Mus musculus: one gene and its partner. The protein of the gene in region 2 purifies or fractionates together with the protein of the main gene of each other region. This does not show direct contact. Links are inferred from orthologs where the notes say so. Each region holds a gene or a part of one and is shown on either strand. Other genes may lie near its edges.

The links.
Region 1: the proteins of Med26 (region 2) and Polr2j purify together in Homo sapiens (affinity purification with mass spectrometry; 5 studies listed by BioGRID and IntAct, with this or other methods). This does not show direct contact. The link is inferred for Mus musculus from reciprocal best matches to the Homo sapiens genes MED26 and POLR2J.

The regions. Positions count from the first base shown.
Region 1 is NC_000071.6:136,115,315-136,119,569, reverse strand, and holds the start of Polr2j (DNA-directed RNA polymerase II subunit RPB11), read right to left. Parts: upstream 2,880-4,255; 5' UTR 2,818-2,879; coding exon 2,765-2,817; intron 1-2,764. UniProt on the Homo sapiens protein: Core component of RNA polymerase II (Pol II), a DNA-dependent RNA polymerase which synthesizes mRNA precursors and many functional non-coding RNAs using the four ribonucleoside triphosphates as substrates.
Region 2 is NC_000074.6:72,545,332-72,549,912, forward strand, and holds the start of Med26 (mediator of RNA polymerase II transcription subunit 26), read right to left. Parts: upstream 2,980-4,581; 5' UTR 2,636-2,979; coding exon 2,564-2,635; intron 884-2,563; exon of another isoform or gene 745-883; intron 1-744. UniProt on the Homo sapiens protein: Component of the Mediator complex, a coactivator involved in the regulated transcription of nearly all RNA polymerase II-dependent genes.

The DNA of each region.
Region 1 (4,255 bases), on a different chromosome or scaffold from region 2:
CCCTACTATCTATCCCCAATGGCTACTGGAGTTGCACCTTGGGTTTTGAGCGTGCTAAGCAAAGCCCTCAACCACTGAGCTACAGGTCTAGCCCTGGGAGGCCTTTTTCAGTCTACTCACCAGTAAAGGACTCAGAGCTCTGGCATGGTTCAGTGGCCAACCATTAACCTCCCATGTGTAAGTCTCTGGGTCTCATCTCCACCACTCCCACCGTCCAAACAATAAACAAGGTAGGCCTGCCTGGTAGTTCAGACCAGTAATCCCAGCAATTTGGGAGGCTGAGGCAGGAGGATAGAGAAACACCTCAGCCATCACCCTGGCCTTTCTCTTTGCTTAAGGTAGAATCTCATTTGCCAATGGACACACTGTGCTTGTCTCCACTTCCCATGCCCCTGGAGAAACACTGGAAGCAGAACTCAGATCTACACACAAGTCCTCAGCATGACAATCAATCAATCAATAAATGCTAACAAGGAACCGCCTCTCCCCTGTGATGGCCTCCTATTTATATACCAGGGAGCATGGACTTAGCAGTCCTTGTTTTTGTTTGTTTTTTTTGAGACTACATTTCTTCGTACTTGATCTGTAGACCAGGCTGGCCTTGATCCCCCTGCCTCTGCCTCCCAAGTGCTGGGATTAAAGGTGGATTAAAATCCACCGCTCAGTTAAGGATTGCTCCTTTTTTCAAACTCGGTACACAAATATTTTCTTACTTTGTCCACGCCTGTCTGAGATAAGAGGACAACCTGTAATTGTCAGGTCTCTCCTGGTACCATAGTGGTCCCAGGGACTGAACTCAAGTCATCAGGCTTGCCTGCGGGTGCCTGCGCTCAAGCCATGTTGCCAGCCCAGAACATGGATGTTTTGGACCTGATTGTCCTTTTCTGGGAGCCTGTCTACTGCACCAAGGGTTGTTATCAGCATCCCTTGCTGCTATCCACCCGCTGCCAATACCAACGTGCCTGGGACAACCAGAACCTTTTCCAGATGGCCAAATGCTCTTGCTCATGGGACAACAACCGGGCTCTCAGTTGAGAATATGCCCCCAAGGAAGGCTGAAGTAGCTATCAAATGTCAATCACAAAACCCTGCCTCTTAGGAATGAGCAGTGTCGGCTACAGGTCTGCAGTGTACACTGTACTGGCAAACTCGGAGGATCTTGAAGAACTTCATTATTTATTGACTGATTGATACAGGGATGAAATGAGCCCCGTGCATGCTAGGTAAGCAATCTACCACTGGGGTATACCTCTGAGAGGCCAAATCTACTCCATCTTGGGACCTGCTACCTCCATCTTAAAGAAAAAAAAAAAAGCCGGGCGTGGTGGTGCATGCCTTTAATCCCAGCACTCTGGAGGCATTGGCAGGCGGATTTCTGGGTTTGAGGCCAGCCTGGTCTACAAAGTGAGTTCCAGGACAGCCAGGGCTATACAGAGAAACCCTGTCTTGAACCCCCCCCCCCCCCCGCAAAAAAAGCCTGAGAACTTGACCTACAGCAGAACCCAAGATGCAACCAAGTACCAGGAAGGACCTCACGGCTTGTCCCTTGGCCCATACCCCAGAGTTACTCCCTAGCAACAGTTAATCAAAGATTAGTCTGGTTGCTTCAGATCTACTTTCAGATAGTTTGTGATTGTTCATCTCCCTTCACAGCACCACCTGTCAGCTTACAACAGACATTCAGTTAGATACCTGCCAAGCTCCATACCCCGTCACTCCCACTCCCTAGAAAACCTTGTCCTGGGTTCAAGGCTGCTCTGCCTTCTCTTCCTGTCCTGTTGTGTCAGGGTTGGGTTGGAGGAGAGCCCAAGCCCGAGCTTGTGATAAAGAGACCCTAATGGAAACGGCTCCTTAATGATCTTTTGGGGTTCACAAACGATTCCTAGCACACCTCCATACCTTTTTCCCACTGAGATAGAGACTAAGCTGACTTCCAAGAAGGGGCACACACACGAGAGAAGGGTTACACAAGAGAGAAGGGTTCGTAGCAAACTTTGAGTCATCAAAAGAGTGTATTTGGCTACCATTAAGACAATTACATAAAGCCAGAGCCGGTGGCTCAGGCCGTTAATCCCAGGTAGAAGCAGGTGGATCGCTGAGTTTGAGGCTAGTCTGGTCTGCAAAGCTCGTTCCAAGACAGTCAAGGAGGATACACAGAGAAACCCTACCTCCAAAAGACAATTAGATGCTTAATCTCTAAACCTGTAGCCACTCGAGTGCAAAGTACTTCCCCCTGCTCTCTGAATGCACACAGACCCAACTTGCGTCTGTCTTACTTTCTTAGCGCTCTCTTCCTCTGAACCCTCCTGCTTAAGCCCATATTAAAGTATCTTTAATTAAAAACCCACCAATCCTGCTTCACTAAACCGAAGAGTCCTGAAATTCTTTTTAGCGTGGAGCCACGAACCCGGGTTTGGCCTAAGTCGGGATCCCTGAAAATCTAGGAGAAACCCTCAGGTTGCTGAGGAGTGTAAGAGAGCTGTGTCTCTGTCCCTTCACAGCTGTCATCATGAACCAAGTGTCTGGAGCAAGACACTCCATGTCCCAGAGCCTCCGATTTCCCACTGCAAAATGCATGCACGCGCCAGTGCTTCGCGCCGCTGCCTGAAGCTGGGCAGACTCGCATTGAGCAGCACGGAAGACTCAAAGCAAAGCCCGCCTCCCGCCTCGGTTTCCCCAGACAGGAGCAGTGCGGCGCTCCAGCGGAGCTGACGGCCGGCAGGCTCCTATGCAACCGTCCCCGCCTCCGCCGGCCTCCACTTACTTCTTCTCGCCCTCGAAGAGCAAGAACGACTCGAAGGCCGGAGGAGCGTTCATCCTAGCGCCGCGCTCTCGCTCCCCGACACCAACCCACAGTCTCCTTCCGCCAACAGAGCCCCGAAGCGCGACCACTTCCGGATTTCTCAGCCGCAGCCAATCAGTGTAAGCACCTGGCCCCCGCCCCCTAGCGGCTCGGATGACCTAATGCAGGCGCAGGCAAGGCTGAGGGCGAGCCGTGCGCATGCGTCAGTTTAGAACCCTTGTTCGAGGCGTCCATGCTGAGTGTTTTGGCGCGTGCTCCCGCGCCCGGAGTTGAGCCACCTGTAGCTGGCTCCCCGGTACCGACTGAATGGGACTAAGAGTCTAAGTGGGCTGCTGCTGCAGGACCCCCGGGTGGGCCGACACTGGCGGACTTATGAGGCCTTCTAGATGAGGACCAGTGGAGCAAGAAGGGATGTAAAGGTTGGGGAGGAGCTTGGGGTACCAGCGCATCTTCTCTTGAGCACACAGGTAACTAAAAACACGATGAAAGCTTTGCACCTCGCCATTTTTCAGCGGTCTCTGTAGCAATCTTTTATTTTTCCTATTTTTAAAGATTTTTATTTGCATATCTTGTATGGGCACGTATATGCAGGTGCCTTTGGAGACCAGAAGAGGGTTGGGTCACCTGGAGCTGGAGTTACAGGTGGTTGTGAGCCCCCCCTGCCCCAGTGGGTGCTGGGAACCGAACTCCAGTCCCCTGCAGGAGCAGTAAGACCCTTAACTGCTGAGCCATTTCTCCAGCCTCCCTGATGGCTCATCTTGTCAACCGGATGAAATTTAGAATCATCCTAGAAACAAACCCCTAGGAGGGGCCAGCAAGACAGCCCAGTGGGCAAGGGGGAGTGTGACCAAATCTGATTACCTAAATTCAGTCCCCAGAACCCACGTGGTGGTAGAGAACAGACTTCTCCGACCTCCCTTCACGGTATGCATTTACACATGTGTGCACTCACAATAGAGAATAATAATCATAACCATAATAAAGAACGTTTGGTTGTCTTTGGGATTCTAGACAGATTTGACTGAGGAAGACAGACGTGTATGGCATCATCCTAGAGGCTCAGGAGTCAGACTACAGCTTCCTGGCGCAGATGCAGTGTGCTTGGCTGCCTGGGAATCCTGTTGCTATGACATCTGCATTGTATACCCTTCCTTAAGATGCTTCTGGTTGGTTGTTTTTTTGTTTTTTTTTTTTGGGGGGGGGGTTCGAGACAGGGTTTCTCTGTGTAGCCCTGGCTGTCCTGGAGCTCACTTTGTAGACCAGGCTGGCCTCAAACTCAGAAATCCGACTGCCTCTGCCTCCCGAGTGCTGGGATTAAAGGCATGGACCACCACGCCTGGCTGCTTCTGGTTGTTGTTGTCTTGGTTTTGTTTGTTTTTCAAGACAAGTGTTTCTCTGTGCAACCCTGGCAGTCCTGAAACTTGCTCTGTAGATCAAGCTGGCATCGAACTC
Region 2 (4,581 bases):
ACATGACACCATTCTCTGTCACTTCTCTCTGAAGAGGGTTAATTTTAGTGTTCACTCTTCAACTCTGTCCTCGTTTTGTATTTTTTCCATGAACATCCTAAATATGTGTCAATTAGCAAGTGGTGGAGCTTATAACTGGGCAGAGCAAAGCACAGATCCCTGCACAAACATGCAGCTCTTACCTGGGCCCTGAGCAATCACGGAAACAGTGCAAATGTCCAGGGACCCTTCAATACCACAGCAAGAAATGGAGGACAGTGCTCCAGGCTGATTCTACAAAGAGATTCTGCAAAGCCAGCCCCTGGCACATATACCTAGTTGTTTTTGTGGGTGGTCACTGACAGTGCATTTTGGGAAACACTTCCCTCCTCACTCAGAGACAAGTTCTCAACTCCATCCACCACAATAAGGTCTCCCTTTGAGATATACACTCCAAGCAACTTACCCACAGGCCAAAGAGCATAGTAATACTTATGACCAAGGGAAAATTCAAGAAACTAATGTTTGGGCCAGGCATGGTGGCATATACCTTTAATTCCAGCATTTGGGAGGTAGAAGCAGACAGATTCTCTGTGAGACTACACTGGTTTACATACATAGTGACTTCCAGTGACTGTCTCAGAAAAAAACAAAACAAAAACCTAAAATTTGGGCTGTCTACCTTCCTTCTTTTACCCACAAAGGGTCTTCTAGTCAGACCTTACCTAACACTTGGACCCACCTGATCTATAGCATCATGATTACCTGTCAAAGCGCTTGCTGGTCCCAACACTCTCACATACAAGCAGTCAGGATCTCTGATAAGATCTCAAGCAAAGGAGTTACACAGGAGTTAAAATTTCCACTGTGGAAGAGATGAGCAGTGGTGGTGCAATCGTTTAATCTGGAAGAAGAGGCAGGAGAATCTCTGAGGCCAACCTAGTCTAAAGAGCAAGTTCAAGGATAGTCAAAGCTACATAGAAGAGGAATCCTTCTTGAAAAACAACATCAAAAAATTATACTGTGTACACTATGGCTTCAGCAAAGATGCAAAAGCCATCAAGGCTATGTTTTCCTATCTCTTGTTTTTACCTTTTAATATCCTAATATATCAATCATGTGATTACAGTCAGTAATACCAATCACTGGCAAACAAAACAACAACAAAAAACCCAACAAAACCTTAAACCAAAAAAAGAAAAAAGAAAAAAATTTAAAAAGGCTTTCTAGAAGATTTTTATCTAGCCTGTCCCTATTCTACCTCGAGAAAATGTCTACAGTATTTACTAAATTACTATCAAGGTGATCTTAAAGACCAAGAAGAAAATAATTTTGGATCCAGCAAGCAGATCTCATAGAAACTAGAGCACCTCTATTTCTACCAAGACCACACAAACAATGTGAATTATTCTGAACACACCACAATACAGTGTACATTGTACATTGCTAAGAGTAACTGGTCAAGCATAGTCAAGGGAACTCAAAAGACTCAAACCTCGGTTACCTGTCCAAGCCCAAGATGATTTTTCTTCCATCCCGAGCATATTAAAAAGTGATCTCAAAGGCCACTTCCTGGTCTCCCAGCAAACACCTCATATCTGAATGCCTGTGCATCTTCCCATGGCCCTGCTCCTAACAGCAACAAGGATACCCGCCCCCTACACTGCCAACAAACCTTTGGGAAAAATACAAGAACAGGTGAAATTAGTCTATGCTCACACAGGAAGAAAAAGATGTCCCTCTGCTCACAGGACTCTTAGCAGAGGAAAGTGTGACATAAAGTAACCCCTTACAATTAAATCTTGACAGGCTAGGGCCCAAAGCACCTCAGGAGGGGCAAGAGAGAGATGGAAAGAGGACCGGAAGGTAGGAATAAGAGAACAATCAACTATGACGGGCAGTAACTCAGTACCAAAATCCCATGCTTTAGCTTCTGGTCAGATGCGCAATGGAGCATTTAGGCCAAGAAAGATGACAGGAAGGATCCCACTCTCTGCAGGGTCGTCTTTTCTAGAAAGACCCCAGGAAAGGTTTGTCCACTATCAGAAAAAAGAGGAGACTCTCCAGGCATCACAGGTAGACAGACTGGGGGCAGAACGGGCCTAGGGTTCCCTCCTAGCCAAGAAGGAGGTTCAGCCAGGAGACCGAAGGGGAGTAAAGGCCAAGACTCCGGAGACGCGGGCTACTCTAGTCATCGCGGAGACACTAGTTGCTTCCCACCTTGCCCCCGGCAGGGAGACCTTCCCGGGGGGTTCTCAGTTCCCAGGGTTGAGGTGAGGCAAGGAGGCACGGTGGGGACCACCAAGGGCGGTCGGGCTGGGACAACGGAGAAGAACTAGCTCTGATCAAAGCTCCAAACGCTCCCTCAGTCCAGGCCGCGTGAAGCCTCGGCCTCAGGTACCCTCAGCTGCCGGGCAATCCGCCTTGCCTGCGGTCCCCGGACCCAGGAGAAAGAGAGACCGAGATGGCAGTGGCTGTGGCGGGCAGATCACCGCCTGGAGAGAGCCCCTAGCCGGGGGCGCGTCGGAGGGGGAGGGTCTCGACACATGCGGCCTCGGTCCCCGATCGCGAGGCAGTCACTTACGTTGCTCTGGGAGTCGATGGCCTGTAGCAGCCGGTCCCTCATCTGCTGCGGAGACGCCGGAGCCGCTGTCATTGCCTGGGCGAAGCGGGGGGGAGCGGCCGGGCCGGCGGGCGGGCAGGCTGAGGAGGGGGAACGCGGGTCAGTCACTCGCCGGCCTCCGGGAACGGAGCCGCATGTTCCCCGCGGCGCCGGAGGAGGTCAAGGCGCTCGGGGAGATGGCGAGGACGGAGGGAAGCGGAGGGGACCGGAGCTCAGGCCCCGGACCACCGCCGCCACCGCCGAGCGAGGAGGAGGAGCCGACGGAGGAGCCTCCGCCACCACCGCCGCCGCCGCCTCGAGAACCAAACTCCAGTGAGCTGCCCCCCGCGCTGAGCACTCTGGGTAACCCGCGCCGCACGCAGCGTCGGCGCCACGCTGAGGAGGTTGGGAGATGGGGCGGGTGGAGACGCCGGGTTTGGGAGGGTCCGGCTCGTGAGCCCCTCCTATTGATTGTGCGCACGCGCGCGCAGGCGCAATTAGCAGGTCCTGCCGCCTGGTTCCGAGGTCCGACACAGAGGGCCGTTGGGAGGCAGTTGGGCGTGGCAACGGACGCTATCTGAAGGCCACGCCCACTCGGGACTGGAGGGATGGGCTTCCTAACGGAAGCGCACCCTTCAAGTCCTGGAACACCGACTCTATCTTCTGACTGCTTTGGGGTTGCGGAATGGAAAGACCCTCCCCCGGATGAGGGCCTCCTGCGTTTAGAAACCAGAGGATTGGAGCGGCCATAGGTAATCTGAGGAAGGCAGCGGTTCCCTGCGTTTAGACTCGTGCCTCGAGGAGCTCGGAGGAGCTCCGCACAGCCTTCTCCGCTGCAGAGGCCCCAGGCGCGGGTCTGCAGGGCAGTGCGTGTCCCCATGTGACCCGCGTGCTGCGGGGACCTAAGGTCACGTCTGGGAGCTGCCACCTCTGCAGAGGACGCAAGTCTGCAAGGCCTGCGCGACGCTGACACCTCGGGTCTGCATCCGTGCGGGGCTGGAACTCAAGAGGAAGCACCGCTTTTGTCGCCTTCCTAGAGGCGGGGGGGGGGCGGGGGGGGCTGGAGGTGGCCAGCCTGTGTCTGAACAGCAGGATGCGGAACCGTCGCCCAGCATCTTCCCCTTGGCGTTCCGAGGGGACGGAGCGACCCCGCCTTTGCATCTCAGGTGATGGAAAACAGGAACGCCTCACGGGGGAGGAAGGGAAGCACCAAGGTCACCTGGAGTTTTAAGTCAAACCAAGAAACGAAGGAAGTCAAGTATAAAGGCTGCGGTCCTCCGTCCTTCGGTGACCCCTACAACTGGACAGATGGAGGGCGGGCTCCGAGTTTAGTGCACTATACGAAAGTGGCCTCGGGAGAAATAACTTCGTGTAGTGTTGTAACCTTAAAAATCCAGACATGAAACGGAAGGGAAACAGGTAATGAAAACCACATGTACTTCTGAGAGCTGCTCAACACCTGTTAATTTTAAATTTGTCATACTTCGGGGGGGGGGTACTGGGGGAGGTGAGGAACCAGGCATTTAATTCCAACGCTTGGGAGGCAGGAGGCTCACTGGAGTTCCAGGCCAGCTTGGTCTGCACAGTGAGTTCCAGATTAGCAAGGACTACGTAAGTAAGACCCTGCCCTTTTCTCCCACCCACCCAGAAAATAAATTTATCATGGCTGGTTTCTTGATTCTGCACATGACAGAAGGCTTTGCATTACACCAATAGAATGAACACGAACAAATACTTCTCAAATACACTCTCTTCCTGGCATGTGTTTGGAGCTCAGGTTCCAAGTTGGAAAGCAGCCCATTTTGAAGATACACTTAATCTCACCAGATAAGCAAAATAAACAAGGTCCTCCATCAACATTGGCTCTTAGTTTGGTGTTTTTTGGCAGAGTTTATGAAGCCTGAGCTGGTCTCAAACATTTTATTCCTTCCAGTGTCTCCTGGTGCATTACATTTATGCCAATCTTCTGTCTTTTATTATTATCTAATAGTTGATTTTTA